4 linked regions of the Anolis sagrei genome follow. The protein of the gene in region 4 purifies or fractionates together with the protein of the main gene of each other region. This does not show direct contact. Links are inferred from orthologs where the notes say so. Each region holds a gene or a part of one and is shown on either strand. Other genes may lie near its edges. The genes, in order: TULP4, RAB40C, ASB6 and RNF7.

Region 1 (7,878 bases), on a different chromosome or scaffold from region 4:
AGAGAAGGCTAAAGACTTTGTAAAACTACAACCCCTATGATGCTATAGCAGTGGTTCTCTACCTGTGGGTCCCCAGTTGTTTTGGTCTTCAACTTCTAGAAATTCTAACAGCAGGTTAGGTAACAGCAGACTGGGATTTCTGAGGGTTTTAGGCCAAAACACCTGGGGACCCACAGGTTGACAACCACCAGTGGTTCTCAACCTGGGGTCCCCAGATGTTTTTTGCCTACAACTCCCAGAAATCCCAGCCAGTTTACCAGCTGTTAGGATTTCTGGGAGTTGAAGGCCAAAAACATTTGGGGACCCCAGGTTGAGAACCACTGCACTAGACTATAGCATTGAGTCATGGAATCAAACTGAATTCATTCTACAGTGTAGAGATGCACCACTTCTCAATTCCATGTTCTATTTCCTTAAGAGTTTTAGCATTCAAGCCTTTTCATATCTGAACCATCCAGCATCACCAGAAATAAACATCCAAAAACATCCAAAAACGTCTGGCTCGAAAGACGAGGCTGGCCTCGTTGACTTATGAGGGCCAGACTCCTCCTGGAAAGGCCACCCAGGGCCCTTCCACATAGCCCATAACCCAGAATATCAAGGCAGAAAACCCCTGAACTGGGTTATCTGAGTCCACGCTCAGATAAAGTGGGATTTTCTGCCTTGATATTCTGGGATATAGGGCTGTGTGGAAAGGCCCTGGGTGGGCTTTCCAGGAGGAGTCTGCCCCCCCCCCCCCCCCGTAAATCAATGAGCCCAGCCTCTTTTTCAGGCAACACATCTGCCTTTCTAGTGAGATAATCGCCACCAGGTACACCTTTGTAATGCTGGAGAGTCGATCCCTACGCAAGGTTACAAAACAACATTTCTCAGACGGCTACAATCTCTTGGAGAAAGAGAGACCGCTTTGCTGCAAACCCCAGCCCTCCAAACAAGGGGCTTCATTCAGACACACTGCCTCCTTTCCATACATCCTTTTAGATTAGAGGCTAGACAAAAACATAGATGTATGGAGAGGGAGGGAAGGAAGGAAGGAATCAGGTGGTCCAGCAGAACAAAAGAACATGTAGCAGAAGGCACTTGGCTCTCGGTGTGAGTGTGCATTTCCTCTCCACACACACACACGCACACACAATTCCTCCTTACTCACTGGATACCCTTCAACCTACCAACCCACCCCTCTGGGCATCTGATCTCCGTATTCCCACACACAGAGATAAACATAGATATAAATGCACACAACACACAGACATAAATATATACATAAACACACAAATACCAATCTCTTCTTTCGTATTAGACACCCCTAGACCCTTCATACCCGCCCACCTACCCCTCTGGGCAACCTGGTCTCCATAATCACACACACATACATATACATAGATATAAACACACACACACATATAAATATATACATAAACACACACACAAATACCCATCTCTATTCTTCTCATTAGACATCCCTATATCCTTCAAACCCACCCACTCCCCCAATGGACAAACTCCATATTCCCATATACAGACATACATACATAAGCACACACATATACATACATACACACACACACACACATTCACAAAGATATATATACTATAAATTAAAAAAACACATACAAAATATGTGTATATATATGTGTGTGTGTGTGAGAGGGTTTGTATACACACATACACATAAACACTATATATAAACATAATATTTATGTGTGTTTGTATATGTAATATGTGTGTATATGTGTTTGTATACACATATACACACATATATATTATATATAAAAACACATATATGCAATATCTATGTATATTTGTATATATGTGTGTATATATGTTTGTATACACATATATACTATAAACACACATACACAATTTTAAGTGTTTGTATATATGTATGTATATATGTTTGTACACTCACATACACATATATGTACAGTATATATATATATATATAAACACACATACACAACATTTATGTGTTTGTATATATGTGTGTGTGTTTTATATGCACATATATACACTATATATAAAAACACATACACAATATTTGTTTGTGTATATGTATATATGTGTTTGTACACACACATATATACACTATATATATAAAACACACATATACAATACTTATGTGTTTCTATATATGAGCATATATGTGTTTGTACACACACACACATATATATATACACTATATATAAAAACCCACATACACAATATTTGTGTATGTGTTTGTATATACACACATATATACATTATACATATTAAAACACACATACACAATTTTATGTGTTTGTATATATGTGTCTATATGTGTTTTTGTATATACACAAACACACATATATATTATGTATGCAAACACATAAATAAATATAGGTACTGTTCCATGATCAGGGATGAGGTATACTTATATACTATATATAAATATAAACACCTATAAACGTGTATACATGTATACTTCCCACACACATTTCTATTACACAGAGAGAGACAAACAAGCCTCGGTGGAGCACAAAAGAGACAACAAACCAATGCACCTTGATGTGCACAAAACAGCAGAGGGAGAGGATTGGGAGAAGGGGGAGCATAAAGGCACCAAGGCTCTGTCATACACAAACAAACACACACACATACAAAGCGACCCTGCATCTTACAAAAGGGAGGCAGGAGAATGGGAGGAGAGAAAGAGAGGATGGAAGGGGGGGGGGGTTGCAAAGAGCTGCTGCAATCCGAAGGCGGGTGAAAAGGAAGGAAGGAAGGAAGGAAGGAAGGAAGGAAGGAAGAGGAAGGGGCGCCTGGCTGACCTTTCTCTCCTCCCCTCCTCTCTCTCTCTCTCTCTCTCTCCAAGGAGTCGGCTTGCACTCGCCCAGGCTGCCTGGCTTCCCTCCTCGCCAGCTTGGTCCCCGTTGCTGCTGACAAGCCCAGCCTGGCTCTCCTGGCCGTGCGGCGGTGGAGGCTGCTTCTGCTTCTGCTTCTGCTGCTGGGCCTGGCTCCCTTTCACGTGACGCAGCCACATGATCTCACAGCTCGCCTTGCGCTCAAAGCCCCGCCGCCACTGCCGCCACTGCCTCCGTCTCGCCTGCCGCCGCGCTCCTCCGCTCGCGCGCTCGCTTTCTCTCCCACAGCAATGGATGGAACGCCAGCGAGCAGCGCGCCTCTGAGCGCGTGCAGAGTGCGCTTTCGGCTTTGGCCCCGGCGTCGCGTGGGTTAGAATCCTAAAAGGTTAAGATCCTCTCTACACTGCAGTTTAACACCACTTCAATTACCATGGCTCAATACTATGGAGTAATGGGAGTTGTCGTTTTTGACAAGGCCAGAACTACCGCTCCAATGCTCTTATAACATTAAGCCATGGCAGTTAAAGACCCATCCAAGGCTCTGTCTATACCAGGCATGGACCCCAAGGCTCTATACCAGTGGTTCTCAACGCCTGGAGGGGTCACGAGGGAATGTCAGAGGGGTCACTAATGACCACCAGAAAACACAGTATTTTCTGTTGGTCATGGGGGCTTTATGTGGGAAGTTTGACCCAAATCTGTCGTTGGTGGAGTTCAGAATGCTCTTTGCTTGTAGGTGAACTACAAATCCCAGCAACTACAACTCCCAAAATGTCAAGGACTTTTTTCCCCAAACTCCACCAGTGTTCACATTTGGGCATGTTGAGTAGTCGTACCAAGTTTGGTCCAGATCCATCATCGTTTGACTCCACAGTGCTCTCTGGATGTAGGCGAACTACAACTCCAAAACTCCATGTCAATGCCCACCAAACCCTTCCAATATTTTCTGTTTGCCATGGGAGTTCTGTGTGCCAAGTTTGGTTCAATTCCATTGTTGGTAGAGTTCAGAATGCTCTTTGATTGCAGGTGAACTACAAATCCCAGCAACCACAACTCCCAAATGACAAAATCAACTCCCCCCCCACAACCCCACCAGTATTCAAATTTGGGCGTATTGGGTATTTGTGCCAAATTTGGTCTACTGAATGAAAATACATCCAGCGTATCAGATATTTACATTATGATTGATAACAGTAGCAAAATGACAGTTATGAAGTAGGAAGGAAAATAATTTTAGAGTTGGGGGTCACCACAACATGAGGAATTGTATTAAGGGGTCGCAGCATGAGGAAGGTCGAGAACCCCTGCGCTATACAGGTCTGGGCCAACTTGGGCCCTCCAGGTGTTTTGGTACAACGGGTGGCAGCCAGGTTACTAACTGGAGTAACTTACAGGAAGTGGTCAACCCCCCTGTTTAAGGAGCTCCATTGGCTGCCGTTCATTTTCCGGTCCCAATTCAAGGTGGAGGTTCTTACCTACAAAGCCCTGAATAGTTTGGGACCCACCTACCTGCGTGACCGCATTTCTGTGTACAAACCCACGCGATCTCTTCGATTATCTGGAGAGGTCCTGCTCTCACTCCCACCCCCTTCACAGGCGCGATTGGTGGGAACAAGGGAGAAGGCCTTCATTATAATGCATGCACAAAACTAATATATACGCAAACACACATATACACAGACTGGGCCACAGCAACATATGGCAGGGGATGACTTGTAATAACACTTTTTTAAAAAAAATCCACATTAATTTACAACAGCCAAGTAGAGTTCCCAAAATAGTGTGGGGTGGTTGTGTGGTCAAACGATGGACATTGGACTGGAATGGACTAGGAGAGTCCAAATACAAAATAGTTCTCAACCAAGACCCAGTAGTAATCTCTCATTATGTAATCCGCCTTTCTATATGCATTTCACATCATAGTGCCAGTGTAGAAACAGGCCTAATACCAATTAATAAATTGTTATTTTTTTGAAAGCAATAGCATGGATTTTTTTATCGTGTCAGAGGCAAATTGAGAACACTGCAAGTTGCCTCTGGTGTGAGATAATTGGCTGTCTGCAAGGACGTTGTTCAGGGGATGCCCAGATATGCCACCATCCTGTGGGAGGCTTCTCATGTCTCCACATGGGAAGCTGGGGCTGACAGATGGGAGCTCACCCTATTTTGCAGATTTGAACTACCAACCTTCAGGTCAGGAGTTCAGCCGACACACGTGTTTAACCCAATGCGCCACCGCAGCTCCACAGGGTGGACATTGAGTCTGTGGGGTTCCATGCTCAAACAGGAAGACAATGTAGCATCCCCCATGCTGATAGAAAGTCGAGACACGTTAATGCTGAAGACATTTAAAGCAGCTTGGATGCAACAGCACAGTGGTGTGTGTGTATGCATGTGTATATATATATACACACACACACACACACACACACATAATGATACAGAACTGTAGTATGTTGTTACATGAGTATTGCTACACCCTTAATAGTTTTCTTAACAGTATTGTAATGTGAAATAGTTCTAAACTTTCAGGGATTGTGCGTGTATCAAGTAATCCCTTTTCAGTGTGTTTTAGTATACAGTAATGTGTTTTGTTGATAATAGGCTTTTCATTTTTCCTGGAGATTTAAGAGCATCCCCTTGCTCCCTATATCATTACTATGGCACTAAATCTGATGACACATCTATTGATGGAGCTAGCTTATCTCAGCCTTTGTTGTTGTTGTCATCATCTTGGAGGAACTCTTGAAATAATGTTCTAGACTTAGGGAACCCCTGCATAAAAATTATATCCCATCACTCGAATGTTAATATTATTTCAATTTCCTGCAAAACCCCAGCAAACCCTCACAGAACTCTAGTTGAGAAATTCCTTTTTAAAGTCTTATATAAATATAATGGTGAAATGAACTTCCTTTAAGGAGAAAAGGCATTTCCTCTTTCTCCTCATTGGAGTCATTCTGCCTAACCTCATAGAATTTAAGGCAACTCAATTGCAACCCATGTCCAACGTATTAATTCGGAGGGGAAAAACACACTTTTTAATTTAATGGTGAATGAAAAAGAAAACATTGAGGCAATGACATATATTTTCACGATCTCAAGAATTTTCTTGGCCAACCAGCATGGAAAATAGACCAACACCCATGGAAGTTTATAGTGAGATACATCTGTAGGTAAATAAACTCAGTAATCACAGCTGGGATGGAAAAATTCAGACTTTCAAAGCCGCAAGCAAAACTTGGCAGTTGTGGAATCAGATGAGAACGACAAAACCAGTGCTTCAGGTTGTTACATTAATGACTGAGTTGTTTACAGATTTGCTGCTTTGATAATCTGGATTATATGGCAGTGTAGAAGGGGCCCAAGTCAGCCTGTCATCAACAGTCTTGCTCAGGACTTGAAAATTCAGGACAGTTTCCTCCGTTGTGCCCGTTCATCTGGAATGGGGTCTTCCTTTTTTCCTGCTGCCTTCTGCATTACCAAATTTATTGTCTCTTCCAGTGAGCTATGTCTTGGCATGATATGACCAAAGTACAGCACTCCCTGTTTAATAAACTTGGCTTCTCGAGAGAACTCAAACTGGATTTGCTCTAAGGTAAAGGTTTTCCCCTGACATTAAGTCCAGACATATCCAACTGTGGGAGCTGGTGCTCATCTCAATTTCTAAACTCAAAAGCTGGCGTTGTCCATAGGCACCTCCATGGTCATGTGGCTGGCATGACTGCATGGAGTGCCGTTACCTTCCCACCGAAGTGGTATCTATTGATCTACTCACATTTATATATTTTCGATTTGCTAGCCCAGCAGAAGCTGGAGCCAACAGCAGGAGCTCATGCTGCCCCTTGGATTTGAACCTGTGAACTTTCAGTCAACAAGTTCAGCAGCTCAGTGGTTTAACCCACTTCTCCATTTGATTTGCTCTAGGACCCACCTATTTGTCTATTTTGCAGCCCATGGTATCTAACTCTAACCAAGTTTATTTCTTTCACTGACCAGCTTTCATAACCATACATAGAAATTGGAAATATGGGGAAATGAGTGATCTTAACTCTAGTATTCAGTGCTATAATGTGACACTCCAGGAGCCATTTCCTTCATAGCTGCCCTTCCAAGTCCTCAGCCTCATTCACACTGCCCCTATATCTCAGGATCTGATCCTAGATTATCTGTTTATCCCAGATTATCTGGCAGTGGAGATTCATATAATCTTGTTTAAAGCAGATAATCTGGGACCAGATCCTGGGATTTGGGTAGTGTAGAAGAGGCCAAAGTCTTTTGATTTGTAACCACAGTTTCCATTCTGATTAATGACTGAGCCAAGTTATGGAAAATCTTCTACTTCCTAGTATTTGTCTCATGAATTCACAGGGTCCACTCGTTTGCTTCTTGTTCTCTACTTGTTCCTATTGGCCACATCTCTCATTGTTGTGTCTTGCTTTAGCCACGTCGCATTTCAAATGGTCAAGCCAGCGCATTCTAGGTCTACCGCGTGGCCTGGCACCTGCAACTTCCATATTCAGCACGGTTCTAGTCATGGAGCCCTCATCTCTGTGTTGCCCATGTCCAAACCATCTCAGATGGGATTTCTTAATCTTCTCGACAATCGGAGCAACTCCGAAGATTAAGTGCACTATATCGGTTGGAATCCTGTCCTTCAGGGTAACACCCCTTGATCACTTGACCATTCACATTTCCATAGTGTGCAGAGTTTGCTCGATGGCCTTAGTGGAAAATCTTTAATTCAATGTCTTTGTGATATACTTTAGAGTTATGTAAGTCAACTCTGGTCATTATTTTAGTTTTCTTAATGCTTAACTATAAACCTGACTTTGCTCCTTTTTCCTTGATTTTCTTCAGTAATCATTCCAAGTCTTTTTTTTATTTCCTGCCAATACTATGGTGTCATCTACATATCAGGTTCCTTCCTCCAGTTTTCATATTTGCTTCCCCTGAGTCTAATCCTGCTTAAGATATAATATGTTCAGCATATAAATTAAAGAGAAAGGGAGTTAAAATGCAACCTTACTAGATTCCCATGCTAATTGGAAGCATT
Region 2 (6,879 bases), on a different chromosome or scaffold from region 4:
GAATAGCAGTTTAACAATGTTACTTAACACTTATTAAGCAACACTTCCAAAATGATATGTATATCACAGCTGATTGCATGGCAAGTGAGATTATTATTCCCTCCCTGTGATGCAGAGGGAGACTGAGAAGAGAGTGCAGTTTAGCTAAAACCAGATACTGGGTTTATTTATGGGAGAGGCCAGATCATTACCTGGGACTTCCTGATTTGTAAGTTGTTTTTGCTTACAAGGTGCTTCCCAGAGGCACAACCATACAAAAGTTATGGCACTAGGGGCTCAGATCCCTTATTTGGCAGCCAAACCTGGACGCTTTGACTCCATCTATACTGGCCATTTTATGCAGTTTTCAATCAAGTACTCAAGAAAGTAGTTTCACGGTACAGAGTATTGCATCAGAAATCCTAGGACCAGTTTGAAGTCCGGAGGCGATGTCACAAATCACAGAGCACTAATGCACATTCAGGACTTTCTCTCACACACTTCTGTGGGAGTTTGTTTTTGGATGCCCAGAGTTTGAAGCTAGCATTAAATGGTCAGTGTAAATGGGGCCTTAATGAGTGAGCACTCTTATGCATAGAAACACAAGAGTTGGAAGAGACTAGGACCAAGAGGACTGAAAGCAAGGATTGAAGTACAGTTGATCTAACTTTAATTCAGCCACCACTGAAGTGCATTTGAACTCCCTTTAATTCAACTGTGATTTAATTCAGTAGCTCTGTTTTTAGCAATATCTTAGGATCCTAGAGTAGGAAGAAATGGGTCATCCAGTCCAAGCTTATTCTGCCCTGCAGGAAATGTATAATTCAAACACTCCCAACAGATGGGCATCAAGCCTCTATTTAAAGACCTCCAGAGAAGGAGACTCCACTGGACTGGCATATTACACGTTCTTCCTGATTTTTAGGTGGGATCCTCTTTTCTTGCAATCTGAATATTTCCAAAATAAAAAATATCAATATTGTTGGAAGGGATGGGAAACAATGATTGAGGTACATTTGAACTCCCTTTAATTCAAAAGGTGGTTTAACCCTGTAGCTCTTGTTTTTTTTAGCAATTATCTTAGAATCCTAGCATTGAAAATAACCCCAAAGGCCATTCAGCCCAATCTTATTGTGTCAAGTAGCAATACACAATCAAAACATTCCCAACGGATGACCAACCTCTTAGGGGGTTGGACTAGATGGTCCATGTGGTCTCTTCCAACTCTATGATTCTATATTTAGGTGGAATCCTCTCTTTCTGAGTCCCTCCGGGGAGATAGAGAGGAATATAAATATAGTTATTATTGTTATTATTATTATTATTATTATTATTATTACTATATATTCCTGCAATCTGAATCTTTAAAAGAATCAATCTTGTTGAGAGGTATGACGGTGATCTCTAAATGCATTTGAACTTCCTTTAATTCAACGGTGGTTTAATAAACCGTAGCTCTGTTTTTAGCAGTATCTCAGAATCAACAGAGTTGGAAGGGATCTTAAGGGCCACCCAATCAGGTTATTCTTCCATGCAGGAACCCGCAACACAAGCATTCCTCCTTGCTTAGGAAAACCATATGAAATCCATGGGGTCACCCTATGCTGACAAGTGAAGCTCCAGTTACACTGCCATATAATCCCATCTCTAGAACCGTCTCTGAGGATTATTATCTGCGTTGAACTTGATTATATGGCAGAGCGAATCCAGCCTGACTCCCTTTAATTCAACAGCGGTTTAACCCTGTTGATCTGCTTTTGGCAACCTCCTACAACCCCAAGAAAGAGACCACAACAGCCATTATTATTATTATTATTATTATTATTATTATTATTATTTTACTGACACAAAAACACAGCAAACGAGATATATATGCTGGATTTTGCATCAAAAATCACAAGTTGAACACTTCCCAAGTGTCTAGAACTGTGTGATGTATTTTCGAATAATGCGCACAGCTCCAAGTAAGCTGGCCTTTTGCAGGTGACAGAGTGTGACTTTGTCAATGTTTATTGTTTCCAAATGCTGGCGGCCATTATCATCATCATCATCATCATCATTCTCTGTAGTTCTTTGGCAATCTCTTACAATCCCAAGGAAGAGACATCAAGGGCCATTATTACTATTATATTATTATAATATATTATTATTATATTCCCTATAGCTCTGCTTTTGCCAATCTCTTTGAATCCCAAGGAAGAGACCCCAATTGCCATTATTACTATTATTATTTCTACTACTATTATTATTCTATTCCCTGTAGCTCTGCTTTTGCCAATCTCTTATCCCCAAGGAAGAGATCTCAATGGCCATTAGTGCGATTATTATTATTATGTAATATACTATTAACTTGGAATATTACTATTATTATATTATTATAATATTCCCTGTAGCTCTGCTTTTGGCAATCACATCTCGCCATTATGCTTACTCTTAGGCTTATTCTTATTATAATTATTGCAATATCATATATTACAAATATATAATATTTATAGATTAATAACATCATTTTTATTATGTTCCTTGTATTTCTGGTTTTGGCAACCTCTTACAACCCCAAGGGTCATTATTATTATTATTATTATTATTATTATGTTATATATTATCATCATTATAATTATTCTTAAATTCCCTGTATCTCTTTGGCCATTATAAATTATTATTATTGAAGATCTTTCAATACAATTTTAATAAAATCTACAAGCATTCATATCAGGTTTAATTATCATTGGCATTACATTTTTAAAAACCCCTTAAAATCCGCATTCAAAACTAAACCAAAAACCCACCCAGCATGGCCTGCCTGAATAAATAAATAAATAAGAAAAGACCCGGGCCGGGGCCCATTCGGCGAGGTCACGATCAGAACCCTCCCGACAGATGTCAATCCCCTCCCGTCTAGGCCTCACCTGCCCGCCTGCCTGTTTCCTTCCTGCTTCCTCCTCCTTCTTCTCTGAGTCGGCCGCGCTCGGCTCCTGCACGAACGAGCCAACGCAGCGGCTACGGCGTCCTCCCATAGGCTTCCCTACACGTCAATCAGCAATGATGAGCGGTGGGCAGGGAAATGCAAGCGAGAGTCGCCCTCCCACAGGTTCCCCCGCACGTCAGTCAAACCGCCCTACCTTGTGTATTTTTTCTCTCTCCAGCCTCCACAGGTGCCCCATCCAATCAGGAGCGGCAGCCGTGGAAAAAGTAAAGGAGAGCGGCACTTCCATAGGCTCGTCTGCACGTCAGTCATCCCATCCTTCCTTGTGTTTGTTCTCTCTCGCGCCTCCTCAAGTGCGCCTCCAATGACAAGCGGCGGGCGGGGAAAACGCAAGGAAGAACGGCCCTCTTATAGGCTGCTCCGCATATCAGTCAGTCCGCTTTTCCTTGTGTTTTTTTTCTACTTCCCGCCTCCTCAGGGGGGTTCCTCCACTCAGGAACGGCGGGCGGGGAAAAAGCGAGAGAGAAGGGAAAGGCCTGGGAAATGTCACTCAGCCTGAAGACGTTTGATCCCGCCCTCTCAGGCTGACGCGCCCAATCACGAGCCGCGAAGGATTGGTGAGCGGGGAGAGAAGGCAGAGACAGAGAGAGAGAGAGAGAAGGGGAGGGACCATAGACTACTCGTCCCGGCATGCAGCGCGCGGCCTTGGTGCGCTGACGCTGAGCGTGAAATAAGACAAAGCATGTTGGGAAGGGGAGGAAGAGTTCCTTCCTTCCTCATGGCGTCTCCATGGCAACAGGGCTCTCCCTCTGGCCTCTCCATACACACAGGCCCCTTTCCTTCCCCAGTGACGTAGAGGAAGACAACTTCACCTAGCAACGGCTGATCTTGGGTCATGACAGAGGGTCACTTCACCTAGCAACGGCCAAGCCAGTGACATCGTAAAAAACCACCGGATTGTCACCTAGCAACAGCTTTTTGTACAAACAGACAGACATACCTGACTGTATATGTATATATATGTCTCTCTGTGTGTGTATGAATGTGCATTTCATAATGTGTGATTAATGTATCTTTTATTAGAAATGACCTTGATTTACAGGAGTTCTAGTTCACCTGCATCCAGAGAAAGAGTGACCCCCACCGACAATGGACCAGGACCAAACTTGGCACAGAGAAGCCCCATGACCAACTGAACATACTGCAGGGATTTGTGGGAATTGGCCTTCATTTTGGGAGTTATAGTTCACCTACATCTGGTGACCCCCACCGAAAATGGACCAGGACCAAACTTGGCACAGAGAAGCCCCTTGACCAACAGAAAATACTGCAGGGATTTGTGGGAATTGATCTTCATTTTGGGAGTTGTAGTTCACCTACATTCAGAAGAACAATGACCCCCCACCAACAATGGACCAGGACCAAACTTGGCACAGAGAAGCCCCAAGACAACTCAGTGTTGGGCTTTGTGGGACTTGACCTTGTTTTTGGGAGTTGTAGTTCACTTGCATCCAGAGAAACAATGGCCCCCACTGACAATGGACTTGGACCAAACTTGGCACACAGAAGCCCCATGACCAGCTGAACATACTGCAGGGGTTTGTGGGAATTGACCTTCATTTCGCAAGTTGCAGTTCACCTTCATCCAGCGAAACAGTGACCCCCATCAACAGTTGACAGGAACCAAACATGACACAGAGAAGCGCCATGACCAAGTGAACATACTCAGGGGTTTGTGGGAATTGAGCTTGGTTTGAGGAGTTGTAGTTCACCTGCATCCAGAAAGTACTGAACAGAGGCAACGTCAGATCTGGACCAAACTTGGTGCACAGACCCAACAGAGCCAACTATGCATACAGACGGGGTTTGGGGGCAATTGCCCAGGGAATTTGGGAGTTGTATCCAGAGAGCACTAAACTCAGCCAACGATGGATCCGGACCAAGCTTGGCACACAGACCCAACATGGCCAAGTGCGAATATGTTCCGCCTCGTAGTCTTAAGATCTGCTGGGGAGGCCCTGCTTTCGGTCCCACCAGCTTCGCTAATGTGACTGGTGGGGATGATGGACAGGGTCTTCTTGGTGGTGACCTCGCTGCCTGTGGAATTCACTCCCCAGCGAAATTAGATCAGCGGCCTCCCTCCTTTCTTTCAGAAGAAAACTGAAGACGTGGTTGTGGAACCAGGCTTTTGGCTAATGGATTTAACGGCACCAGAACAGTGAATTGGACCAGACGGTTGTTACAATGGAAATGCCTTTATGATTGGATAACTAATGCTGTTTTAATGTATCGTACTGTATGATTTTATTTTGCTTTATTATTGTAATTATTGCAGCATTGAATTGTTGCCTTTGTTAGCCGCTCTGAGTCCCCCTGCGGGAGTGAGAAAAGCAGGGCAGAAATGCTGTAAATAAATAATAAATAAATACTGTCAAGGTTTGGAAGTGATTGCCCTAGGAATCCAGGAGTTGTAGTTCACCCTCATCCAGAGAGCATGGAACCCAGCCAACAATGGATGTGGATCAAATTTAAAGTTTTGGGTTTTTTTTAATGTCAGGAGCAACTTGAGAAACTGCAAGTTGCTTCTGATATGAGAGAATCAGCTGTCTGCAAGGACATTGCCCAGGGGACATCCGGATGTGTTTCCATCCTGTGGGAGGCTTCTATCATGTTCCTGTATGAGAAGCTGGAGGTGACCAATGGGAGCTCACCCCGCTCCCCAGATTCGACCTGCCGACCTTTCCGTCAGCAGTCCTGCCAGCACAAGGCTTTAACTCATTGTGCCAGTGGGAGCTCCACCAAACTTAAGTGATATTACCTAACATCCCAAAACAAACAATGCCTTCTTCTAATAACCCGGGCACCTGCCCAATAAATCCCAGTGTTTGTATGTATTTTCCAAGAAGGCCCCAACTTTCAGGGAGCACTGTAACTCCCACCAACAATGGATCTGGACCAATCTTGGCACACAGAAACCCCATGGCCAACAGAACACACAGGAGTGGTTTTGGGGGGAATTGACTTTGAGTTGGGTGAGTTGTAGTTCACCTACATCCAAAGAGTATTGCAAACGCAAATGACAACATGTGGATCATACTTGGCACACAGATCCAACATGGCCAACTGTGAGCACTGGTGGGGTTTGGGAGTGATTGACCTTGGAATCTGGGAGTTGTAGTTCACCCACCTCTGGAGAGTACTGAAACCAGCCAACGACAAATCTGAACCAAACTTGACTCACCCAACATGGCCACCTAGGAATACTGTCAGGGTTTGGAGGTGATTGACCTTGGAATATGGGAGTTGTGGTTCACCCACGTCCATGTATCAAATATATGAGAGGAAGTCATAGGGAGGAGGGAGCAGGCTTGTTTTCTGCTGCTCTGGAGACTATGGTTTCAAACTGCAAGAAAGGCGATTCCATCTGAACATAAGGAAGAACGCCGCCCTGAGTCCCCCCTTGGGGGTTGAGAAGGGCGGGGTAGAAGTGCCTGAAATAAATAAATAAATAAACTTCCTGACTGTGAGATCTGTTCAACAGTGGAACTCTCTGCCCCGGAGCATGGTTGAGGCTCCTTCTTTGGAGGCTTTTAAACAGAGGCTGGATGGCTATCTGTCGGGGGTGCTTTGAAAGCGATTTTCCTGCTTCCTCACAGGGGGTTGGACTGGATGGGCCACGAGGTCTCTTCCAGCTCTATGATTTTATGATTATGCTTTTTCTAATGGAAGCAATCATAAAAAGCAAATTATTAAACTGATATTTCTAAACATAAAAATCGACTTTTTTCAAATAACCTGTGTACCCAAGCTAGCCTGCCTGCTATCTATCTGTCTATCTATCTATCTATCTATCTATCTATCTATCTATCTATCTATCTATCTATCTATCTATCAGAAGCCTCAAAAGAAAAAAGAGACGGGGGACACGAATCCAGGGATTCTCATGGCTGCCAATCTCTTTGCGCAGCACATGG
Region 3 (7,078 bases), on a different chromosome or scaffold from region 4:
TCGCTTCATAAGCAAGGTAATGGCCATATCTAAATAAATCTCCATTGGATGGGAGCATTGGGATTTGTAGTTTCCCAAGAGCCTGAGGTGCAAACTATAGGTCCCAGGATGCCACAGCATTGGGCATGGCAGCATTCGTTCAATAATACAGACACATCGTAAGCAAGGTAATGGCCATATCTAAATAAATCTCCATTGGATGGGAGCATTGGGATTTGTAGTTTCCCAAGAGCCTGAGGTGCAAACTATAGGTCCCAGGATGCCACAGCATTGGGCATGGTGGCATTCGCTCAATAATACAGACACATCGTAAGCAAGGTAATGGCCATATCTAAATAAATCTCCATTGGACGGAGGCCTTGGGATTTGTAGTTCCCCAAGGGCCTGAGGTGAAAACTATAGGTCCCAGGATGCCACAGCATTGGGCATGGTGGCATTTGTTCAATAATATAGACACATCGTAAGGAAGGTAATGGCCATATCTAAATAAATCTCCATTGGATAGGGACCTTGGGATTTGTAGTTCCCCAAGGGCCCGAGGTGCGAACTATGGGTCCCAGGATGCCATAGCATTGGGCATGGCGGCATTTGTTCAATAATACAGACATGTTGTAAGCAAGGAAATGACCATATCTAAATAAATCTCCAATGGATGGGGGCCTTGGGATTTGTAGTTCCCCAAGGGCCCGAGGTGCAAACTATAGGTCCCAGGATGCCACAGCATTGGGCATGGCAGCATTCGTTCAATAATACAGACACATCGTAAGGAAGGTAATGGCCATATCTAAATAAATCTCCATTGGATGGAGGCCTTGGAATTTGTAGTTCCCCAAGGGCCCGAGGTGCAAACTATGGGTCCTTGGATGCCACAGCATTGGGCATGGCTTTCATTGAATAATATGGATGCTTCCTTAGAAAGATAACATTCACAGCTCCGTTCTATTGAACCCTGGGATTTGAAGTTTCCCAGGGGCCTAAGCTGCAAACGGTGCAAACCCAAGGAGGCCGTGGCATTGAGCAGGGCGTTCATTTTCGATAATATATAAGGTTTTTGAGGGGGGAGCAGCCGGGCGGCGGCGGCGCCGGAGTTCTTGGGCCTGAAGAGGCCCTTGGGAGACGGCGTTTTCCTGGAATTTGGAGGGAAAGGCTTCAAAGGGAAGGCAGGCAGGCAGGCCTTGGCAAAAGCCACGCCACCAGGCTGGGAGGAAGCCTCTCTTCCCCGCAGAAAGGCAGGCCCAGTGGAGCTGCGCCTACACTGCAGGAGTTAATCCAGTTTGGCACCACTTTGGCGCCCTGGGAGTTGTAGTTTGCCAAGGCCCGGAGGCTTCTCAGGCTGCATTCCTTCCCCAAACTCCCAGCATAATAGGATGTATGGCTGCATGGTCCCAGGCGGGATATCATATTGTGAAAATGTGATTTAAAATGTAATATATTATATGCACATACAAACACATACACAAACACATACACATACACACCAGGCCTGGACCAACTTGGGCCCTCCCTCCAGGTGTTTTGGACTTCAACTCCCACAATTCCTAACAGCCTACCGTATATATGTATATGTGTGTGTTACTAAATTATTATTATTTTGTAAATGGGCCCTTGGTATCAACCGTAATTAAAAATGTATTTTTAAAATATGGATATTTGATTAATATTACTAAGTTATTTTGTAATTTTCTTTAAAGAATGGGCCCTCAGTATGCACTGTAATTCAAATGTATTTTAATTCAGGGTGTTTGTGTGTATATATATGTTAATAACACACACACACATATATATATCACATTATATATATGTGTGTATATATCTCTCTGTGTGTGTTGTTAACACATTAGTAATATTTTTATGAAATATATATCCCAAAAATCCATAGAGGAGACAAGATAATATTTTTTTATTTTTGTTTTGTTTTTATTATATTTTAAAATTGTTTTTATTTTAATTTTATTTCAATTTCATTATTTATTTATTTATTTATATTTTTTAATATCTATCTAATATTTCTATCTATCCCTTTATCTCTCTATGTATTTTATCTAGCCTATCTATCCTTTTATCCCTCCATCCATCCCTTTATTCCTCTATCCATCCATCCATCCATCCATCCATCCATCCATCCATATATCTCCCCTCTCTATCTATCTATCCAATTATCTATCCACCCATCCCTCCATATATCCCTCTATCTATCCATCTCTTTCTTTATACCTCCATCTATCCATCCCTTTATTCCTCTATCCATCTATCTGTCTATCCATCCATCCATCTACCCCTTTATTCCTCCATCCATCCATATATCCCTCCCTCTCTGTCCATCTGTCTGTTCATCCATCAATCCATCCATCCCTTGATCTAACCCTCTCTCTTAACTATCCATCCATCCCTCGAGCCATCCATTCATCCATCCATCCCTCCCTCCATCCATCCATCCATCCATCCATCCATCCATCCATATATCCCTCTATCTATCTATCTATCTGTCTGTCTGTCTGTCTGTCTGTCTGTCTATCCATCCATCCATCCATCCATCCATCCATTCATTCATATATCCCTCTATCTATCTATCGATCTATCGATATCTATCTATCCATATATCCCTCTATCTATCTATCCATATATCCCCCTATCTTCTATCTATCTATCTATCTATCTATCTATCTATCTATCAATCTATCTATCTGTCTATCCATCCATCCATCCATCCATCCATTCATTCATATATCCCTCTATCTATCTATCTATCTATCTATCTATCTATCTATCGATCTATCGATATCTATCTATCTATCCATATATCCCTCTATCTATCTATCCATATATCCTCCTATCTTCTATCTATCTATCTATCTATCTATCTATCATCTATCTATCATCTATCTATCATCTATCTATCTATCTATCTATCTATCTATCGATATCTATCTATCTATCCATATATCCCTCTATCTATCTATCCATATATCCTCCTATCTTCTATCTATCTATCTATCTATCTATCATCTATCTATCATCTATCTATCTATCTATCTATCTATCGATATCTATCTATCTATCCATATATCCCTCTATCTATCTATTCATATATCCCCCTATCTTCTATCTATCTATCTATCTATCTATCTATCTATCTATCTATCTATCTATCTATCTATCATCTATCTATCATCTATCTATCATCTATCTATCATCTATCTATCTATCTATCTATCTATCTATCTATCTATCTATCTATCTATCCCTCTATCCCTCTATCTATCTATCTATCTATCTATCCATCCATCCATCCATCCATCCATCTATCCATCCATCCATCCATCCATCCATATATCCCTCTATCTATCTATCTATCTGTCTGTCTATCCATCCATCCATCCATCCATTCATATATCCCTCTATCTATCTATCTATCTATCTATCTATCTATCTATCGATCTATCGATATCTATCTATCTATCCATATATCCCTCTATCTATCCATCCATATATCCCCCTATCTTCTATCTATCTATCTATCTATCTATCATCTATCTATCCATCCATCCATCCATCCATCCATCCATCCATCCATCCATCCATCCATCCATCCATCCATCCATCCATCCATCCATCCATCCATCCATCCATCCATCCATCCATCCATCCATCCATCCATCCATCCATCCATCCATCCATCCATCTATACCTTTATTCGTCCATCCATCCGTCTATCCCTTTATCTCTCTCTCTCTCTCTCTCTCTCTCTCTCTATTGATCCATCGATCCATCTATCGATCCATCTATCTCTCCCCCCATCCATCCATCCACCCACATGCCTACCTACCTACCTACCTACCTCTCCCTCCCTCCCTCCCTCCCTGCCTGCCTGGGGCGTGCTCCTTTCCTCTAGTTAGGGAACACCGCCCTCCGGTGGCCGTGGGAGGCGCTGCAGGGCTTTTGGCGGAGAGCAGCCGAGTTCCCCCCGGCCAGCAGGTGGCGCCAGAGAAACCAAGCCCAGGAGATAAACTGCATTTTTGTTTTGTTTCCAAATCTACCCAAAAGCCCTCCTTCCTTCCTTCCTTCCTTCCGCTTCCTTTTCGGCTGGAAGGGAAGCCGCCTTTGCAAAGGAGAGACGCGGAAAAAGAAGAGGTTTTGCAGGAGAGAAAGGTGAGCGAGTGCAGGGGGAGACTCTCCTGATCTATGCATTAAATAATATATATTATTTTATGTTGTATTGAATATAATAAAATTAGTATAGATCAAATATCTATAATATTATATTATATTGAGTAATAATGTCCCAGATTAAATAAAATAATATAATATATAGTACATTAAATGTTATTTATTTTACTGTATTACATTTAATATCATATACATTATATTATTTTAAATCATATAATAGTTCCAGATTAAATTCAATAAATAGAATATATAGTACATTAAATGTTATTTTATTTATTTTACGGTATTAAATTTAATATAATATACATTATATTATATTAAATATTAGTACCAAAGTAAATCAAATAAATAGAATATATTACATTAAGTGTTAGTTTAATCACTCTCAACAAAAGATTCTCCCCAGGCACTTCCAAGCCATTATGATGTTAACTGTTTTTTATACTGTGTTATGATAACATTGAATTTTTGCTGTTCTGGTTGTTAACCGCTGTGAGTCGCCTGGCTGAGAACAGCGGTATACAAATAAAGTAAATAAATAAATTAAATGCTAATCAAGGTGGTCAGTTGAGACATTCACATCTAGCTCCAGCAGACAAGAGTCCTTTGTCCCACCCTGGTCATTCTACAGATATATAAACCCATTTTCCTAACTCCAACAGAACTCACTACCTCTGAGGATGCTTGCCATAGATGCAGGCGAAACGTCAGGAGAAAATGCCTCTAGAACATGGCCATATAGCCCGGAAAAACCTACAACAACCCATGAAAGCCTTCGACAATACATCAAATGTTATTTTATTTATTTTACTGTATTAAATTTAATATAATACACATTATATTATATTAAAACACATAATAGTTCCAGATTATATAAAATAATAGAATATATATTATATTCAGTGTTATTTTATTATGTTACGTGTAATATCTATAATATATTAATGTAATGTATTAAAGCATATCATCCAGATTATATTTAATCATGTTATTTTTATATTACATATAATATGATATATATCAAACTTAATGTTACATCATATAAGCATTCCAGATTATGTCAAATCATATATATTGAATTTAATACAATAATGTATTATATTAAAACATACAATTGTACCAGATTATATTATAATAGATATTATGTAAATATGCTATTTTATTAAATCTTATATCATATTAAATTTAATAAGATATTTCATATTAAATCATATAATTGTTCCAGATTATATTAAATAATAGAGCAGATATTTGATTCGATGAAATAGAATAAAATATATATTTGATATAAATTGTATTAATTCATATAAGCATTCAAGATTATATTAAATAGTATAATTATATATAAAATATTACATGTTCCTTTTAATATAGAAGCTTATAATATCAATATAATAAAATCAAAAATAAATATAATAAATCATATAATCGTTGCAGATTATATTCCGTTATAAAGGAACTCTTGTGTTGGGGTTTCAGATATATCGTTATGCATGTGCAGATCTCCCCAAATTGGAAAGAAATCCCAAATACTGGTTCCAACCATTTTGGAGAAGGGACACTCCATATCAACGATGATGAATGCAAGACATGAACCATGTGGGGACTCAGGTCCGGCCGCAAAGGCATCTCATTATGCATATGCAAATCTCCCATAAGAACCATGCTTTTGGGATAAGGAGTGTTGCTTGCTTTCAGGCCGGACGGACGATGCCCTTTCTGCACGGCTTCCGGAGGATCGTTTTCGAATACCAGCCGCTGGTGGACGAGATCCTCCTCGCTTTGGGGCTGCAGGGGGCGGAGCCTCAGGAGGGCCCCAAGAGGTAAGATTTATTTATCCTTATCCTAGTATTGTAATACTGGAGCACTTTATTACTGTGATTCATTAGCACTTTAACGAGGGGATAGTTTTCCGGTAGTTGTTACTCTAATGTTGCGCTTGATTTACTATTTTAAGCTGATAGTTGCTTGTCTCACCTTGCACTTTATAATTGTTGTCAACATTGGGAATGTTTCTGGAAAGAACTGGAGGGTATACCATGAAACCGGAAAAATGAATTATAATAATGGAAAAAAGGAGGATACATCATTAGGTTTGAACTTGGATGTAACATGTAACAGTGCAATATTAGATCCTCAGAATATGATGAGTGGAGAGGGCTGGAGGGAGGGGGGGAGTTCTGTGGGTCGGGGGGCCCCCATAGCGGTGATGGTGGGAAGGGGGAGATACGGGAAAGGGAGAAGCAAGAAACCAATTCGGCTAATTCGCGAAACAACCCTAAAAAAAATTCCAAAATGTTCTCCTGACAAGGTAAACTTGTGTACCAAGGTAGACGACCCTCCTAGATTGAAGGTGGTGCTGTTGAATGCCAGGTCTGTCAATGGAAAAACGTCAACTATCCGGGACTTAATCTACGATGAAAAGGCAGACCTGGCATGCATTACAGAGACCTGGTTGGACGAGGCGGGAGGGGTCAACCTCACCCAGCTTTGCCCGCCAGGCTACTCTGTGCAGCACCAGCCGAGATCAGGAGGGCGGGGAGGCGGAGTTGCAGTAGTCTATAAAGATTCCATCTCCTTGGTCAGGTGCCCTGCCCTACAGTCAACCTTGTTCGAATGTGTCCACCTGAGGCTAGGAGACCGGGACAGGATAGGGATTCTGTTGGTGTACCGACCACCCCGCTGCTCCGCAGATGCCTTACCTGAGCTAGCAGGGTTGGTCTCAGGCCTGGCATTGGAGTCCCAGCGGCTCATAGTGCTGGGGGACTTCAATGTCCATGCAGAGACCACTCTTTCAGGAGCGGCTCAGGACTTCATGGCCGCCATGGCAAACATGGGGCTGTCCCAACGAGTATCTGGCCCTAACCACTGTGCTGGACACACACTTGACCTGGTTTTCTGTCAGGGATGG
Region 4 (7,080 bases):
TCTGCTATTTATTTATTATTTATTAGTTATTTATTTGGCGTGCTTCTACCCCGCCCTTCTCAACCCCCTAGGGGGGACTCAGGGCAGCTTACAAAAGGCACAATTCGATGCCTGACAATTCATAAAATACAACATACAAATTACAATATATCGTCAACAATTATAACTAATTAAAACAATCAAACAATACAGCCGCAGCAATAAAAACATATTGTGGCCAATGTTCGTCGATTCATAAATCCATGATCCCTCTAGCATCGTCATTGTCCTTTCCTACTCTGGTCGTCATTGTCTTTTGTCCACTGCCAGCTTACCCGAAGGCCTGGTCCCACATCCAAGTTTTTAACTTCCTTCTGATGGAGAGGAGGGATGTTGATGACCTAATCTCCCTGGGGAGTGCATTCCACAGGCGAGGGGCCACCACCGAGAAGGCCTTGTCCCTCGCCCCCACCAGTCTCACTTGTGATAAAGGTGGGGCCGAGAGCAGGGCCTCCCCAGACGATCTTAAATTCCGAGGTGGGACGTAGAAGGAGATACGTTTGGACAGGTACGCTGGGCCGGGGCCGTAAAGTCAGCTATGGCTGACTTCTTTGGTTGAAGTAGTCTGCAGTGCCTTTCATGTTCCTTGATTCGTGTTTGGGCACTGCTGCGTTTGGTGGTCCCTATGTAGACTTGTCCACAGCTGCATGGTACACGGTAGACTCCTGCAGAAGCGAGAGGATCCCTCTTGTCCTTTGCTGAACGAAGCATTTGTTGGATTTTCTTGGTGGGTCTGTAGATAGTTCGTATGTTGTGTTTCCTCATCAGCTTCCCTATGCGGTCAGTGGTTTCCTTGATGTATGGCAAGAACACTTTTCCTCGGGGTGGGTCTTTGTCTTTACTCTCGTGGCTTGTTCTTGGTCTTGCAGCTCTTCTGATGTCTGAGGTGGAGTATCCATTGGCCTGTAAAGCCCAGTTGAGGTGGTTCAGTTCATCTTGGAGGAGGTGGGGTTCGCAGATTCTTTTTGCACGGTCTGCCAAGGCTTTAATGGTGTTTCTTTTTTTGACTTGGGTGATGGTTGGAGTTTTTATGTAGATATCTATCTTAAGAGGATTCTTAAAGGGACAGGGAGAGGTGGCTAAAAGGAAAGGGGGCGCAGTGGGTTAAAGCACTGAGCTGCTGAGCTTGTTGATCGAAAGGTTGCAGGTTCGATTCCGGGGAGCGGTGTGAGCTTCCGCTGTCAGCCCTAGCTTCTGCCAACCTAGCAGTTCGAAAACATGCAAATGTGAGTAGATCAATAGGTACCACTCCAGCGGGAAGGTAACGGCGCTCCATACAGTCATGTCGGCCACATGACCTTGGAGGTGTCTACGGACAACGCTGGCTCTTCGGCTTAGAAATGGAGATGAGCACCACACCCCAGTCAGACATGACTGGACTTAATGTCAGGGGACTACCTTTACCTTTTATGTAGATTTGTCCACAGCTGCATGGTATACGGTAGACTCCTGCAGAAGTGAGAGGATCCCTCTTGTCCTTTGCTGAATTGTTGGATTTTCTTGGTGGGTCTGTAGATAGTTTGTATGTTGTGTTTCCTCACCAGCTTCCCTATGCGGTCAGTGGTTCCCTTGAACTGCTAGGTTTTCAAACTGCTAGGTTGGCAGAAGCTGGGGCTAACACCCTGCTCCCTGGATTGGAACTACCGACCTTTTGGTGGGCAATGCTGCGTTTGGTGGTCCCTATGTAGACTTGTCCACAGCTGCATGGTACACGGTAGACTCCTGCAGAAGCGAGAGGATCCCTCTTGTCCTTTGCTGAACGTAGCATTTGTTGGATTTTCTTGGTGGGTCTGTAGATAGTTTGTATGTTGTGTTTCCTCATCAGCTTCCTTATGCGGTCAGTGGTTCCCTCGAACTGCTAGGTTTTCAAACTGCTAGGTTGGCAGATGCAGATTGTAGCCAGGAAATCAGAAGACACTTACTTCTTGGGAGGAGAGCAACGTCCAGTCTCGATAAAATAGTAAAGAGTAGAGACATCAGACTGGCAACAAAGATCCGCCTAGTCAAAGCCATGGTATTCCCTGTAGTAACCTACGGATGTGAGAGCTGGACCTTAGGGAAGGCTGAGCGAAGGTGCTTTTGAACTGGAGGAAAGTGCTGAGAGTGCCTTGGACTGCGAGAAGACCCAACCAGTCCATCCTCCAGGAAATAAAGCCCAGCTGCTCACTGGAGGGAAGGATACTAGAGACAAAGTTGAAGTACTTTGGCCACATCACGAGGAGACAGCAAAGCCTAGAGAAGACAATTATGCTGGGGAAAGTGGAAGGCAAAAGGAAGAGGGGCCGCCCAAGGGCAAGATGGATGGATGGCATCCTTGAAGTGACTGGACTGACCTTGAGGGAGCTGGGGGTGGTAACGGCCGACAGGGAGCTCTGGCGTGGGCTGGTCCATGAGGTCACGAAGAGTCGGAGACGACTGGACGAATGAACAACAACAAAAGTTGGCAGAAGCTGGGGCTAACAGCGGGAGCTCACCCTGCTCCCTGGATTGGAACCACCAAGTTCAGCTGCTCAACCCACAATGCCACTGGGGGATCCACAGGCACTCAGAACAAAGCCCTAAATGTTGGTTTCAAATTATGGCCAGGTTCATGGAAATACAGTAGAGCCTCGCTTACCCAAAATCCCTGAAGGGCGGCAGGCCTAAGTTCGCCCGTGCCCGTAGGCCGAGAAGCCCCCAAACCAAGCCAGGCCTGACTCACCCATGACCTGCACCCGGCAGATGGCGCAGGTGTCGCACTCCACGTCCCAGCTCCACATGGCCACGGCGTTCCACTTCTTGAGGGAGAACATCTTGTCCACGCCGCCGCCTGCCTTCGAGCCGGAGGAGCCCGCGTGAGGCGCCACCGACACGCCCGGCTCGTCTCCGTCCTCAACGTCGGCCATGGCTGCGAGCGGAAAGAGCAGCAGGAGCAGGAAGAGAGAGACTACGACGAGTAGGCCCCACGCCGCCTCTCTCGCCTCTCTCCTCTCCTCGCCGGCGCCCCCTGCCGGCCGGAGGAAGGAAGGAAAAGCCACACTGCTCACCCACTTCCGGGTACCTGAGGCACTTTGCCTGCCAGGGAAACCGGAAGAGAGGCCTGTGAGCCTCCAAATCCAGGCCTGGGCAAGCTTTGCCTCTCCAGGTGCTTTGGACTTCAACTCCCACCATTCCTAACACTTTGTTGGTGGTCTGACAGCAATCCAGTTGCTTTCTTTTCTTTGCAGGTTGAGTATGAAGTCTGAGACAAAGCCATGCCTCTATTTGTCACTGATCACATTCTATTGCTTTAACAGTGGTTCTCAACCTGTGGGCCCCCAAGATGTTTTGGCCTTCAACTCCCAGAAATCCTAACAGCTGCTAAACTGGCTGGGATTTCTGGGAGTTGTAGACCAAAACACCCAAGTACCCACAGGTTGAGAACCACTGCTAGAAAGAGTTATCATTAGAGATGCCAGGCACTAGGCCTGGGCCAACTTGGGCCCTCCAGGTGTTTTGGACTTCAACTCCCACAATTCCTAACAGCCGGTAGGCTGTTAGGAATTGTGGGAGTTGGAGTCCAAAACACCTGGAAGGCCCAAGTTGGCCCATGCCCGGTATAACATCTGAGTCAGAGTCATGGCTGTTTTGTCACTGATCACATTCCTATTGCTTTAGAAAGAGTTGTAATTAGGGAGAATGCCAGATAGTACGTAATTCGAAGGTACCCTTTATGGAAAGAAATCCTACCTATGTTGGGGGCCCAAGTGTTATTTCCAGTGTTTCCTACCGGCTGTTAGGAATTGTGGGAGTTGAAGTCCAAAACACCTTGAGGGCTGGTTTGTCCAAGCCTGGGTATAGCCTGAATCTCTGCCCTTAAGAGGATTCTTAAAGGGACAGAGAGAGGGGGGCTTAAAGGAAAGGGGGCTATCTATCTGCCTCTTCACAAACTATACATAAAATGTGAATCCCCTCTAACTAAAAATGGGACTTAAATAAAGGAAACAGTGAGGATCTTCATGGAGGCATGACAATTATGATTTCATGACAACCATGTAAGGAGCCATCTCTACATCCTTGGCAATTAAAGGTGCAGTTCTCTGTGGGACGCAGTTCTGAAAACCATGATAAGACTGCCTAAATCATAGCTTCTTAAACCATGAGTTCTGCCTAGAGATGGGAAGACCTGGAAACAAAAGAAAAATAGTTGGCCCAGGCAGGGGGCATATGCCGTCGCTGTCTGGGGGCTATAGTTCTTAGTGAAAGAAACATGGACGTGACGTCTTTTCCCCAGGGGATTGCTTCTTGCCTTCCTTTAGAGAACTGGAACTCTCAAGAATCAAGACACTATAGATAACTCAAAATAGGCTTTATTGTTCACAAGCAGTTATCTTTCTAAGGCATTAAACTTGATGTTCCAAAAGAGGTAAAGAAAATATACATTACAGTCTCTGGAGTCTTGGGTCCAAGGAGTTTTCCAGCTGAGTAGCTTCCAAGTTCCCTGTATCTCAATGGCTGTGAAGTCGGAACATTCACAACCCCAGTCCAATGACCTATATTGAAGGCACAAAGTCGTCTTCTTGATGCCAAAGGACTGGTTTGAAGGCGCTTAAGATTCCTCAATGTCATCCAGATGAGCTGGGCATGAAGTATGAATCTTAAGAGTACAAACTTAAGAATGTTTGGTAAAAGATGACTTGACTAAGGCCTTAGAGCCAAGCCTTTCTCACGTCCATCTGTTGAGTAGTTTGGTGGTAGAATGAAAAAGAAAGCACTGCCCTCCTCCCTAGGAAGGGGTGGAGCCAAACAATTGAGCTGGGGGAGCAATTTAGCCGATGTAAAACGACATTGATAGAAAACTGTAGATAACCAAACAATTCAACTATATATTTACATACAAGTTGCGCCAGACGCGCCGTCACAGGGCAGAAAAATTGGGGAAAACACTGAAAAAAATACTTTCCCCCATTTTTCTGGTTCCCCCCCCCCCCCCAGGCCTTCCCATCTCTAGCTCTGACCCCAAATGGGCTCCCCTTAGTTCAATGTTCAGTTCACAATTTTTTTTCCTGACTGTCATCTTATGGCTATGTTTAGATATTTACATGGATCTATTGTGCAGTTTTTACAGTGGACTCTACAGAAAATGCTTCAGCTGTACTTCATGTAAAGGAAAATCAGCCTGCTTAGCAAGACTTACAAATGCTGATTTGTTATCAGTAAATGTTCGGTTTTTATACCTATCTTATATGTCAAATATATCCGAGGTCATGTAAACAATTCTTGGGCCAAAAGTGGTCCCAAGTGGAAATGTTTAAGAACCCTGGCCAACATTGTGTAGTTGCCTTCTACGGACTCAGGAACATTCTTGGACCGTAAATTATTCCTCCCAGATCCTCAACTTTGAGTTGTAATGTAAAGATTGTCATGTGCACCATCCCGGAGGTCCTAGTAATTTTAGGGGATACTATCAAGGGTTTTATTAGCTGTGGTAGCTCTAATTCAGTGGTATTAGAGCAGTAGCGAGAAAGGATTTAGATTTTGAAATCTGCCCCAAATTTCTGCAATTTGGTTTTGAAAGAGCTTTTGTTGGGACTGCGCATTTGTGTTCTGCTTCCTTGAGAGGCTTTGTAAGAGGCAAGTGCCGTCTTTAGGCCCACAAACTTGTACGAGTGCTGCAATTAATTGGTGTTTGTGACAGGTAGAAAGCTTTCCAATATTAATCTTTTTGTGTATGTGGGTACTCTGTTATGCCCCACAGCCAATACTGCATTTTTGTTGTAATAATTTCACCATTTTAAGGGTATTAATTTATTTTGACTAAGTAGTGAAAGAAGGAGCTACAGAACTGGGCAGTCATGCTCTTTGGCAGCCAGCCCAACCTCAGTACATTTTCCCCTCCAAGATAAGACAGAATGAATTATGATGGTCCTTTAAAATGTTCTTCATCTGAAATAATATATATTTTGTTACATAATTAGCATACAAACAAAGCCGATGATGATATATAAACTTCGCAATACACTGAGTGTATTTATAAATAATACACTGTTATTTATAAATAACACTGACATCCCACTTCAAAATAATACAAGTTGAAGAGAGCCAATGTGGGTGTTAAGTTGCTATGTAGAGTGTTTAGTTTTTATTTGTAGGCAGTTGCATAATTTTATTTTAATGCAATAAATAAAGCTTGTAAAAATTTAAAAATGTATCAACTTATTCTGGATATTCATAAGAAGAAACTGAGAACACAACATAGTATTTCCAAAAGTAGAGCATCATGTAAAGAATTGCTGAACTTTGATAACCTCTTGAATTTTATATCTTCTGGAAACTTTATAATCACTTAATTTTCTGTAAAATAAAAACAAAGCAAATGTCAGTAAATTTCAGCAAGGTTTGGTATTGGTTAAAGTAAGCTAATAGCCCAACCCCAGCACTCAACGGGAGGAAATATGCAGATAACTTGATGATGTAAATGGATTGTTATGGGCTGAATAATAACACAAGACAAAATTTGGGATTGCATATACACAGTTGCAGACCAATAGTAATAACACCAATAATCTATTAGAAGGAGAAGGAATAGATGACACTCTTCCTCTATTCTATGCATTTCCAGTTCTTCCTGGACTCAGAATGATAAATGATAATGCAAAATCTGGATAGATCTGCATAGTTAAAAGAATGGTATTCCCCGTAATCAACTATGGATGTGAGAGCTGGACCATAGGGAAGGCTTAGCGAAAGAAGATAGACGCTTTTGAACTGTGGTGCTGGATGAAAGTTCTGAGAGTGCCTTGGACTGCAAAAAGATCCAACCAGTCCATACTTCAGGAAATAAAGCCTGACTGCTCATTGGAGGGAAGGATATTAGAGACAAAGTTGAAGTACTTTGGCCACATCATGAGGAGATAGGAAAGCTTAGAGAAGACAATGATGCTGGGGAAAATGGAAGGAAAAAGGAAGAGAGGATGACCAAGGGCAAGATGGATGGATGGCATGCTTGAAGTGACTGGCTTGACCCTGAAGGAGCTGGGGGAGGTGACGGCCGACAGGGAGCTCTGGCGTGGGATGGTCCAT

Evidence for each region.
Region 1: the proteins of RNF7 (region 4) and TULP4 purify together in Homo sapiens (co-immunoprecipitation; 3 studies listed by BioGRID and IntAct, with this or other methods). This does not show direct contact. The link is inferred for Anolis sagrei from reciprocal best matches to the Homo sapiens genes RNF7 and TULP4.
Region 2: the proteins of RNF7 (region 4) and RAB40C purify together in Homo sapiens (co-immunoprecipitation; 4 studies listed by BioGRID and IntAct, with this or other methods). This does not show direct contact. The link is inferred for Anolis sagrei from reciprocal best matches to the Homo sapiens genes RNF7 and RAB40C.
Region 3: the proteins of RNF7 (region 4) and ASB6 purify together in Homo sapiens (co-immunoprecipitation; 4 studies listed by BioGRID and IntAct, counting the BioPlex papers as one, with this or other methods). This does not show direct contact. The link is inferred for Anolis sagrei from reciprocal best matches to the Homo sapiens genes RNF7 and ASB6.

The regions. Positions count from the first base shown.
Region 1 is NC_090021.1:69,018,171-69,026,048, forward strand, and holds the start of TULP4 (tubby-related protein 4), read right to left. Parts: upstream 3,001-7,878; 5' UTR 2,790-3,000; intron 1-2,789. UniProt on the Homo sapiens protein: May be a substrate-recognition component of a SCF-like ECS (Elongin-Cullin-SOCS-box protein) E3 ubiquitin ligase complex which mediates the ubiquitination and subsequent proteasomal degradation of target proteins.
Region 2 is NC_090034.1:27,646,642-27,653,520, reverse strand, and holds the start of RAB40C (ras-related protein Rab-40C), read right to left. Parts: upstream 3,003-6,879; 5' UTR 2,889-3,002; intron 1-2,888. UniProt on the Homo sapiens protein: RAB40C small GTPase acts as substrate-recognition component of the ECS(RAB40C) E3 ubiquitin ligase complex which mediates the ubiquitination and subsequent proteasomal degradation of target proteins.
Region 3 is NC_090031.1:3,738,600-3,745,677, reverse strand, and holds the start of ASB6 (ankyrin repeat and SOCS box protein 6), read left to right. Parts: upstream 1-4,066; 5' UTR 4,067-4,149; intron 4,150-5,865; 5' UTR 5,866-5,877; coding exon 5,878-5,990; intron 5,991-7,078. UniProt on the Homo sapiens protein: Probable substrate-recognition component of a SCF-like ECS (Elongin-Cullin-SOCS-box protein) E3 ubiquitin-protein ligase complex which mediates the ubiquitination and subsequent proteasomal degradation of target proteins.
Region 4 is NC_090023.1:236,793,709-236,800,788, reverse strand, and holds the start of RNF7 (RING-box protein 2), read right to left. Parts: upstream 3,018-7,080; 5' UTR 2,925-3,017; coding exon 2,741-2,924; intron 1-2,740. Other genes in the region: uncharacterized protein, read right to left, coding at 6,340-6,351. UniProt on the Homo sapiens protein: Catalytic component of multiple cullin-5-RING E3 ubiquitin-protein ligase complexes (ECS complexes), which mediate the ubiquitination and subsequent proteasomal degradation of target proteins.